Linked DNA regions of Arabidopsis thaliana. The protein of the gene in region 1 interacts with the protein of each later gene in a pairwise test. Each region holds a gene or a part of one and is shown on either strand. Other genes may lie near its edges. The genes, in order: AT1G34320 and AT4G25920.

Region 1 (6,826 bases):
TGTCACAAAAACGGTTTAAAATATCTAGTTTTCAGTTTGTATGTCGTACTTATAACCGAACGTGTGTGAAGTTCTCATGTCATGTACCAGTTCTGTTAAACTAATGAAATATGTTCAGAGGTTTATGACCACTATAACTATTAGACCTGATTTCAATTAATCAAGAAAAATCCAAACTTTTTAATATATGCATTATGCTTTACAAAATTGTTTGATCTTCTACTGATGTAAAGACATTTACAAAATATAGTTATTTAATTGATTCTAACTAATTTGTTCGCGCATAGCGCGGGCCGTAAACTAGTATTTGATAATTCAGGTGCCTTTGTTTTGTTTTCTTGTATTAGGAGTGTGGGGGCTAATGAATTAGTTACAAAAAATATAAATTGAATTGTGGAATCATTTGACCAAAAAATTGAGCAAAAAAAGAAAGAAAAAGAAATGTAGAATCAAAATATTCATGATGAATTGCGATGGAGACAGAAGAATAACTCAAAAGATTTGACCAATGTGAACTTGTTGAAACGTGGAATTGGTCCAAAAGAGAGGCAACCTTATCATTAAATTAGGCTAATTCGCAGTTAAATAAGTAGCCTAAAATACTAAGAATTAATTTCACTTAGTTTATCATTGAAATTGGTTTAGGATCATGTTTATGAAAATACGATTGAAATCTCTTTCTGTTTTTTTTTACAACTACAAACTACTAATTAATATTGAAATCTCAAGACTTGAAAAAAAAAAGATAAAAACTCGCTTGTAATTTGTTTTTCTTTTGAATAATTATAACATTCCAAATAAATGATCATACCTTTGAAGTTCCAAATCATTTTATAGCTTTTATCTTTTATGTAATAAATAAGCTATGGGCCATCACATTCCATTTATTTACATAAATACTAAATGATAATAACAATTATTTTCCTATATGATATCAACATTTTTTTTTTATTCAAGCTTCCTACCTTTGACCATGCTATAAAGCTATTATGACATTGCCACACATAGGTTATTTGGTAAAACAATGTAATTTGAAACCTACTTTAGATTCTGTTGTCCTTTACTTGGTAAAAAGTCAACTTTCATTTTCAAAACTAGATATGCATATACATGTTGACTGATTTTCTTCACCTTTTTCTATTTCAAGGACTTACAATAATTACCAAATACTTCCTTCATTCACACAATCAAAGGTACAAAATGGTTAAATATTTCAAAATTTACTACTTGATACAACTTAGTTTACTACTTGGAATATACAACAAAAGATATTATATTGTAATTCTTTTATATAACCATAACTCTTTTTTGCCTCAATAATATTGAATTAGAATGATTTCAAACAAAAGAAAAATAGATTGAAATCACAAAGAGAAAACAATATTTATTCCGAATCTTATAACTCGACGAAAATCGATTTTATCGACATTAATTATTCCATCACAATACTAATTTAAATTCCAAAAAACACCTATCAAAAGTGAATTTTCGCATAACAAACTCGAAACATTACACCGATATGTATTTGATGATAATTTGATAACAACATATGGTATTCTTCGAAATTGACGTGTCTTTATTTCTGATTTCTGTTGAAGTGATCCCAATTCAAAGAATTTCAATGAAATCCATTTAAAAGACTATATAAACATAAATTTAACTATGTAAATAAAATTTGGTAACATACAAAATAATTCTAATTATGTAGTAATATTTGATAATATAAAATATACTGCAACTTGTTAGTAAAAAAATAATAAAAATGTGTAAATGGGATTGAGAGTTTTGAAGAGTGTAGAAATGGGTAAAACGAGAAAAAGCCTTTGGGGGTTGAATTTTTGGCTAACTTCACCATCTGACACTCTCCAACTCCTCCTCTCTCTTCAGACTAACCCAAATTCAATTCATCTCTCCTCTCTCTCTCTTTCTCGAGTCGCGTTTCTTCTTCTCTTTTCCTTGTAGACATCTCCACGATTCTTCAGCTGAGAGCTTCTCACTTCTCTCTAGAGCTTTGCTCAAGAACTAGCGACGAAGAAGAAGAAGAAGAATCTGAACTTCAATCTAATTCCCAGATCCAAGTTTCTGACTCTTCTTAGGTCTTTCTTCTCCATTCCTTCAAGCTACTGAATTGAATTTGTCGTTTTGGGTTCTTCTTTAGCTAGGGTTTTCGATTTCCTCTTGACTTTAAAATCTTCTTGATTCATTGGCAGGTTTCGTATGAGAGAATCAAGTTTTTTTCCACTGAGCAATTTGCTCCATTAATGGACTGTTGCTTTCATACAAATCAGGATTTGCGATTACAGTGTTTCGCTGGTTACATTGTTCATCCATTTCAAGTTTCCTAGAGAGTTCAATCCGAGATCAGAGTTTTTTTTTGCGTATGGAGAGTTTCGAGAGAGTTTGAGAGCTAAATTTGGAAACTTGCTGTGATGGGTGGGCTTTGTTCAAGGAGTTCATCTGTAAATAATGCTCCTGGTGGAACCTTTGCACATGTTAATGGTCATCATCTCAATAACAATGCCTCTGACTTGAATTCTCATTCTGGTGAAAGTGGACTTAAAGATGATCCTTCTCCTGTTACCGAGAATGTTGATGATAATAAGCATACATCGGAATCGTTTTCGTTTCCTATAGTCTCTAGTGGATCTCATCCTCAAAATATCGAGGATGGGATTCCTCGGTTATCGAGGGTTTTATCTCAGAAATCTAGATCCACTAAGTCTAGACAAGCTGCTGTTGCTAAGGTATATAAAGAAATGTTAAGCTGTTGTGTGTTGTTAGTTCTGAGTTCAAATTTATTATACTAAGGTGTTTTTGTTTATAGGTTTCGGAAGTAAGCTCTCTTTTGGGTAGGGCTGGTACTATGGGACTTGGTAAAGCTGTGGATGTGTTGGATACACTCGGGAGTAGTATGACGAATCTGAATCTTAGTGGGGGGTTTTCTTCTGCGACGACGGTGAAAGGGAATAAGATATCAATCTTGTCTTTTGAAGTTGCTAATACTATTGTTAAAGGCGCCAATCTTATGCATTCTCTTTCGAAAGATAGCATTACTCATTTGAAAGAGGTTGTGTTACCTTCAGAAGGTGTTCAGAACCTGATATCGAAAGACATGGATGAACTGTTGAGAATTGCTGCTGCTGATAAAAGGTAACAATTGTTTGTGATTGTGTTCTGTGTTGATGCTGTTTTCTAATTTGTAGTTTGGAGATAAGTGACGGTTGAAATTGTATACAGGGAAGAGTTGAGGATTTTTTCTGGAGAGGTGGTGCGTTTTGGGAATCGTTGCAAGGATCCTCAATACCACAACCTGGATCGTTTCTTTGACAGGTTCCAACATGATCCTGTCACTTTGGTGGTCACACAACGGGTGTATTCCTTTTGGAAAGTATCTGACTTTTCATTAGTTCTGTGTTATGATTTAGGTTGGGCTCTGAATTTACACCCCAGAAACACTTGAAACAGGAAGCAGAGACCATTATGCACCAGATGATGTCATTTGTTCATTTTACAGCTGTACGTATTTTCATGCAAAATTGTGATATTTGGTCCTGTTTGACTTCCTCAATAGCGATCTACTCTGAGTATATGTTATGTTTCAGGACTTGTATCATGAACTCCATGCGCTGGATAGGTTTGAACAAGATTACCAACGTAAGATCCAGGAAGAAGAGAACCCAAGCACAGCACAACGAGGTAAGTACCAAAAAGAAAATATCTATTCTTAATATCTTTGGGAATGGATGCTATTGTTTTACACTCTAGTTTCTTCTATTTGTTGGATGTCGTTCTAATTTATCTTCCATTTTTTCTCCTTTTACATAAGGTGTGGGAGATACCCTCGCTATCTTGAGAACTGAATTAAAGAGTCAGAAGAAGCATGTTAGAAACTTAAAGAAAAAGTCTCTTTGGTCTAGGATCTTGGAAGAGGTAAGGGCTGCAATAAACGTATAATATTTCCTTTTATTTGGAGTTGCTTGGCTCATCTGCATTCACAATTGCTAATTCTTGAAAATACTAATAATACTTAGGTGATGGAGAAACTAGTAGATGTTGTCCATTTCTTGCATTTAGAGATTCACGAAGCCTTTGGTGGTGCGGGTGAGACTCGATTATTGGATAAAGCGTTTTCGTCTTATTTTAGCGTTCAGGAAGATAGAGGATTTAGTTATTTTCTTGTACCTAAAATGAAAGATGTACTTACAAATCATGGCCATTTCACCTGATATGCAGATCCTGATAAGCCTGCAAATGACCCGCCAATCAATCATAAAAAACTGGGCTCTGCTGGTCTTGCCTTGCATTACGCAAACATCATTACTCAAATTGATACTCTTGTAAGTATATTATTCTTTTTTATCACTTAGTTTTACTTTCAATGTTTGGCCTGTTGTCCAAACTCTAGGTTCCTGGGATTGTAAATCGTTTGTTTCTCGTATCCAATGGTCTCCCGATTTCATTAATAATCTACCTCCAAGCATCAGCAATAATAATATGATTGGACCCATACGGCTTGTGGAATATATTTTAAATTTATCATTTCTATGAGTAGGTGTCCCGGTCTAGCACTATGCCTGCAAGCACAAGAGATGCTTTGTACCAAGGTTTACCCCCAAGCATAAAATCTGCTTTACGCTCCAGAATACAGTCCTTCCAGGTTAAAGAAGAGGTATTAATACTGTTTCACACTTCCCATAATGCTTTTGTGCTGACAAGATGAATTTACCATGTCCAGTGTTACTTGAAATGTTATTTGTATCCCTGCTCACCTCACTATATCTGATTTGTTTTCACCAGCTCACTGTTCCTCAAATAAAAGCTGAAATGGAAAAAACATTGCAGTGGCTTGTTCCTGTTGCTACAAACACCACCAAGTAAGCTTCTGTGATGTTTTCTATCTCTTTATCTTTGGTTTTGTGTCATCATTAGAACTCTGTTCTCACTTAAATCATGTATTTTTTTTTGGCGGATCAATGGAACATGTGATGTCTTAATTCTGTTAACAAAAGCATGTAAAATTCCCTTAGTTTTAACTATTAAAGTAAGTCAGACTTATTCTTCTGTCTTTTCTTTTCTCAACCAGAGCGCATCATGGTTTTGGATGGGTTGGAGAATGGGCAAGTTCCGGGTAAGCCCTGACTACAAGCTGATTCTCTCTTTGTGCTGTGTATATATGCAGACAACTGCATTCTTTACTAAATGTTAGATTATGCAAAATAACTCAGGTCGGAGGCGAACCAGAGACCTGCAGGTCAAACCATACTAAGGATAGATACTCTTCACCATGCAGATAAAGAAAAAACCGAGGCTTACATATTAGACCTGGTGGTGTGGCTCCATCATCTCGTTACCCAAGTCAGGGCCACTACAGGTTATGGCCTAAGATCTCCTGTTAAGTCTCCAATCAGATCACCTAACCAGAAAACGATCCAACTCTCCAGCGGTTCACACAACCCGAGTATGGGTTTGCCATTGCTGACTACGGAGGATCAAGAGATGCTTAGAGATGTAAGCAAGCGGAGAAAGACGCCAGGAATAAGCAAGAGCCAAGAGTTTGAAACGGTGGCTAAAGCACGTCTTTGTAAGCACCATAGGCTAAGCAAAAGCAGTAGCCACTCACCAATGATGGGCGAGATGATGAAGAATAAGAAGGATACTTTCTCAACCAGAAGACCTTCTTCTGTTCCCATCATTGATTTTGACATTGATCGCATGAAAGCTCTCGATGTGATTGATCGCGTGGACACCATTCGAAGCTTGTAGTTAACTACTTCCACTCCATCAGAGTTCAGAATAGGGGTTGAATGGATGGGAAACACCACTCTCTTATCACCAAAAGTTGTTGATATGATGAAGAATCTGAATGTGATTCATCGCACGGTGCCATCGAAACCCTTTATAGGTGATGAAAAAATGGCAGAGGTTAGTAACTTTGTACTCTTTTTGGTTTTTGTGGGTGTAATTTGGTTTGGTTTTTTAGCATTTCCTTTGTATTTGTTGTTCTTTTTCTTCTTATAGTTGTATTGTGTACATACAAGAAACTTTATTACATATGTTTGGAGAATAAAAATAGATTATCTTTCCAAATGGATTAAACTCGAATTTAGACTAATAATCACCAGAGAAGCAACTGATAATTGAGAATCATAGTCTTATTAGCAGTAATTAACATTTGTAAAACGCCATAAATGTACTTCACATTACAACGCAAACAAACATCATCATTAGCTAATTGGCTTAGCCAGAGATCTCAATGGACTTAACTTGAGCCTTCATATTTTTGTAATCGTTAGATATAGAAACTATATTCATCCAGCACATGATAATGTGTGTATTTGATATAGAAGAAAATATCAATTGAAGGTGGCATGCAAATTTGATTTATGTTTGATCATTCCAACTGCACAGTCTTATAAACTAAACTTTATAAACGTGACGTTGTACAACATCTCGATGCGTCTGTAGATGTCCTTTCCGCTCATTTGTACTTCGTTTTGGACAGAATGCTTCTCAGTCTGAGCATCCAAGTTACCTTGGATTTGCAGGCCGTCATCGACTCATCGGCTCTCGATGATGCTCAGTGGTCATCCAAGTTTTTTTTTTATCCAAAAGTTTGTTGCATACTAGCATCCCTATCTTTCCTTGAGCATATCCAACATGTTTGAGATCTCTCACGTCCTACTTGCCACTCCTTTTCGGCATATCAGACGCATGTTTGGAATCTCAAAGCTACACAGAAACTTAAGATTTTCGTGTGGCAATATTTCTCAGGATGGTTACATGTCTGTCAAAGGTTTGCCTCTTACTATTTTTTTTTTTTTTTTTT
Region 2 (3,926 bases), on another chromosome or scaffold:
GTTAGTTGGGTTCCAAACTGGACTCTTGACCAGTTTTATTGTTTTGTAACTTTAGCATTCATGAATAAAAAAAGTGCGTTAATTACAATAATTGTTAAATGTAATTAAATAAAAGTGCGTTAACTACAATAATTGGATATTGGTTATTTGCAAAATTCATGTTCTTAAATCATCAGTCTAAACAAAAAAATTAGATTAGCCGAAGATTTCTTCTTCTACCCTTGATGATACTATTTGGGATGGGCTTGCTTAGATGTGCCGAATCCAATTCTCGTTTTTGGGTCTATCTATATTTGGGCTGGGCTTTATAAGAGGCGAAGCCCATGTCGAACAATCAATTTTTTTTTAATTTTATATTTCTTTTGGGAGTCTGTTCTGTCGTATTGATTAATAAAGTAAAAAATCTTAGCCACAAAATTAAATCATCTCCAAGACGTATCAATATCATCATCAATCCACCAATGAAAAGTTCTCTCTTTTTTTTTCCCACTCTTACTCTGTTCTCGCTACAGAATCTCCTGGGAAAAAAAAAAAAGAAACTTGATCCACCCGAATTCCCCAAATCTTCACAATTTCTGGAAACTCTCTCGATCGTGAAGCAGAAAAGTGAGGTTCCAAATGGGTTCTGTTTCGGGTCAAACCCGAATTACAACGATGAACCTCTCGCTCTCAACAGCAGAGAAGAACCCTAATTTCCGCTCGTCGCTTCTCAATTCTAAGGTAATTGTTATCACTTCGTCGAGCTTCACCAAAAAAATGACTCCTTTTGCTTGATTTCTTCTTCTCCTCTTTCGCTTGTGTTTAGAACGCAATTTCAGATACTTTAGGGGTCTCTTCCAAATGCAGTACATTCCTCAGGGGTCAATTTCAAAGAATACATTTTTCTTGGCTACAACACACTCGACCTTTGAGAAAACGAACAGGTACTTGATTTGCAAACCAGACCAATCTCTTTAGAACTTTAGTTGTGATTTAGATTCTTGTTATGTTTGGTTTAGTATTTGGTCACGTGAGCTGCGTCATGCCGTTAACGGAAGAGAATGTGGAGAGAGTGTTAGACGAAGTACGACCATCTCTAATGGCCGACGGAGGAAACGTGGCGTTGCACGAAATCGACGGACTTGTGGTGGTTTTAAAGCTACAAGGAGCTTGTGGTTCGTGTCCTAGCTCATCAATGACGTTGAAGATGGGAATCGAGAGTCGTCTTCGAGACAAGATTCCAGAGATCATGTCCGTTGAGCAGTTTCTTGAATCCGAGACAGGAGGTTTAGAGCTGAACGATGAGAACATTGAGAAGGTTTGGTTTTTTAAAGGTTTAGTTATTTTTGGTTTATTAGCCCCTTGGTTTTGAAATTGATCTGAATGGTCCTTTTTTGGTTTGTTGTCAATTTAGGTTCTCTCTGAGTTAAGGCCGTACCTATCCGGTACTGGAGGTGGGGGGCTTGAGTTAGTTGAGATTGATGGTTACGTGGTCAAGGTTCGACTCACTGGACCAGCTGCTGGAGTCATGACTGTTCGTGTCGCGTTGACTCAAAAACTGAGGGAAACAATTCCTTCTATAGGTGCAGTCCAGCTTCTAGAGTGACATTAACCTTTTTATTTTGTAACTTATATACAAGGCCTATTTTTGATTCAATATATTTTATTTCCAATTATATAATTAGTACAACTAATACAATAACCATTTCTGTTGAAGAAAAAGGAAAAGAAAAAAAAAGTATCCTATGTATGAAGGACATTTTCTCTAGTGATCCTTGTTTTTAGGTAACAGTTATAAAATATTCATGACTTGACTACACAAAGATAATCGAACTTAAAGAGTTATTTCCTTAAACCAATTATTCTCTAATTAAATATGCATTTATAGCGAGTTCTTGGTGAGCAAGGATACTAGAATCTCTATAATAAGTCGGACATAAGAAGATATGAGGAAACACAGACATAACATAGTTAAGAGTTTCAACAATGTCAAAGCTTATAATCAACCGAATATTCAAACCCTCTGTCTGCAAAAATTTCCTCGTACGTAAGCTTCTCTTGCTTTTTCTTTTTAACTTTAATTTTGTTCTTGTTGTCTCTGAATACTTGAACATAACTATGGCAGAGACACGCAAACGTTCGTCTGTTCTCATCTGCAACTCACACGAGTACTAAAGTGAATCAGCCCTTCTCGTCTAAACCAGCCTTCCCGTTTCTGTTGATTGACTACATCCTAAACAACCCAAACTCTTCCTCCGATGGTCGCGTAACAACAAACGTTTACGGTAATGAAAAGGAAGTCTTGATTAAGGACAAGGATCTTAAGGAGGAGGTCTGTGATGCGATGACTGTCGGGTTTTCTCGTGATGGGTTGCGAGTCGAGCTTTGTGGCAACCACGGCGATGTATGTTCTCCCACCATCTTTTACAAGCCTACTGACCCCGAAATAGAAGACTTGACCGTTGATCTACCTCCTCTACCGACGGGTTCACAAATCCAAAGCCTGGTCATGTCCTCTTTACCTAAACGAGACAAAAATTGGGTAGTTGTTGTCAAGTTATTGGGATCTCAGTTGAGTATGTGCAGGCCTTTTGGCAGCCGTAAATGGATCAACATCCAAACCAAGCCTCAGAATATAAACCCTTCATCGAGCATCATGTTTTCCAAGAAAGAGAAAAAGTTCTACGTTCCAACTCCCGGAGGCAACATCTTGTGCTATTTGGATCCTCACTCAGAGGACGACGACCTAATTGATTTCGTGGAATTGGAGTTTGACGATCTTCCAAAATCGGTGTTTCAAGAGTTGGCCGACGTGAGTACATGTTCTAGGACAGACCACCTTGTGGAGTCACCCACCGGCCAACTTTTCCTAGTCAAGTGGTATACTATCTAATTAAAGCTATATATAGCTTTTGTCTTCATAACATATATACCAAAATCTCTAATCCTTTGCTTGAGTATCATATTGGCGCGCTTTATCATGTCTTTGCAGGTATGGAGAGGATTTAGAGGACATTGACAACACCACACTGTATAATGTAACAAAAAAGTTCATGGTGTTTAAAGAGGGAGAGAAACCGAGTTGTGTCTACACTAAGAAGATGATCTATACAGAAGACATTGGAGATCTTTGCATTTTTGTTGGACATAGTGAGGCTTTCTGCGTCCCGGCTAGCTCGTCCCCTGGCCTCAAGCCTAACTGCATCTATTTTGTGGGCTATAACTTTGGTGTTTATGATCTCACCACCAAAACTTGCACTATGTTCCTCACAAAAGATGATAATCCATTAAGGAAATTGGAATTCCCTTACTGGCCTCCTCCGGCTTCCTTTCCAGTACTAGCTCCTAATTAATTATCTCTCTTGCACGTGTTTATGTTTCGCTAATGTTATCGCTGTCTTTGCTTTCCCATGATTTCATTTAAATCCAATGTTCTCTTTTAATCTATGTTCAATGAAATTTATATTAGTGCCTTAAAAGAAGGCGAATCTATCCTACCAAAAAAAAAAGAAGGCGAATCTAAACGAATTCGGTTAATTCATCATATTTCTCAATTAATATACGTAAGACACACTTTGGCACAAAACTTATATAATTATTTATTTCCTGAAACAAGTTATCCTCTAAATATGTATATTTAATGTCCTAAGGTGTAGTACCCTCGGTATTCACTAGACAGAGACGGGGAAGACGAAAGAGTCGCACGTCAAATCAAAATCACAACACATATTTTGAGTGTTGTTACATTATTTTGTGGTGGATCACTATGTGGAGTCACCCTCCGGTGAACAATTCCTCGTCAAGTGGTATATATACTATAGACATTGCTTTTGAATAAACAATTATACAAACTATTAGGTTAATTACTCAACATTTTAATTTGATTTAATGGCTCCTCACCAAACACAAGAAGAGAGGTGAAACATGTTATCTTATTTGTTCTTCCA

What was found.
Region 2: the proteins of AT1G34320 (region 1) and AT4G25920 interact in a two-hybrid assay, tested with the Arabidopsis thaliana proteins (one large-scale study listed by BioGRID).

Annotation. Positions count from the first base shown.
Region 1 is NC_003070.9:12,518,284-12,525,109, forward strand, and holds AT1G34320 (Ikzf5 (DUF668)), read left to right. Parts: upstream 1-1,775; 5' UTR 1,776-2,096; exon of another isoform or gene 2,097-2,210; 5' UTR 2,211-2,429; coding exon 2,430-2,744; intron 2,745-2,824; coding exon 2,825-3,150; intron 3,151-3,237; coding exon 3,238-3,330; intron 3,331-3,425; coding exon 3,426-3,516; intron 3,517-3,602; coding exon 3,603-3,696; intron 3,697-3,826; coding exon 3,827-3,930; intron 3,931-4,031; coding exon 4,032-4,101; intron 4,102-4,233; coding exon 4,234-4,337; intron 4,338-4,552; coding exon 4,553-4,669; intron 4,670-4,797; coding exon 4,798-4,874; intron 4,875-5,083; coding exon 5,084-5,128; intron 5,129-5,225; coding exon 5,226-5,763; 3' UTR 5,764-6,094; downstream 6,095-6,826. UniProt on the Arabidopsis thaliana protein: Promotes seedling growth probably via the regulation of phytosulfokine (PSK) signaling; PSK are peptide phytohormones acting as growth factors. Together with PSI2 and PSI3, required during vegetative growth and reproduction.
Region 2 is NC_003075.7:13,163,510-13,167,435, forward strand, and holds AT4G25920 (hypothetical protein (DUF295)), read left to right. Parts: upstream 1-1,965; coding exon 1,966-2,022; intron 2,023-2,104; coding exon 2,105-2,859; intron 2,860-2,971; coding exon 2,972-3,332; 3' UTR 3,333-3,363; downstream 3,364-3,926. Other genes in the region: NFU3 (NFU domain protein 3), read left to right, coding at 619-720, 806-923, 999-1,297, 1,394-1,585.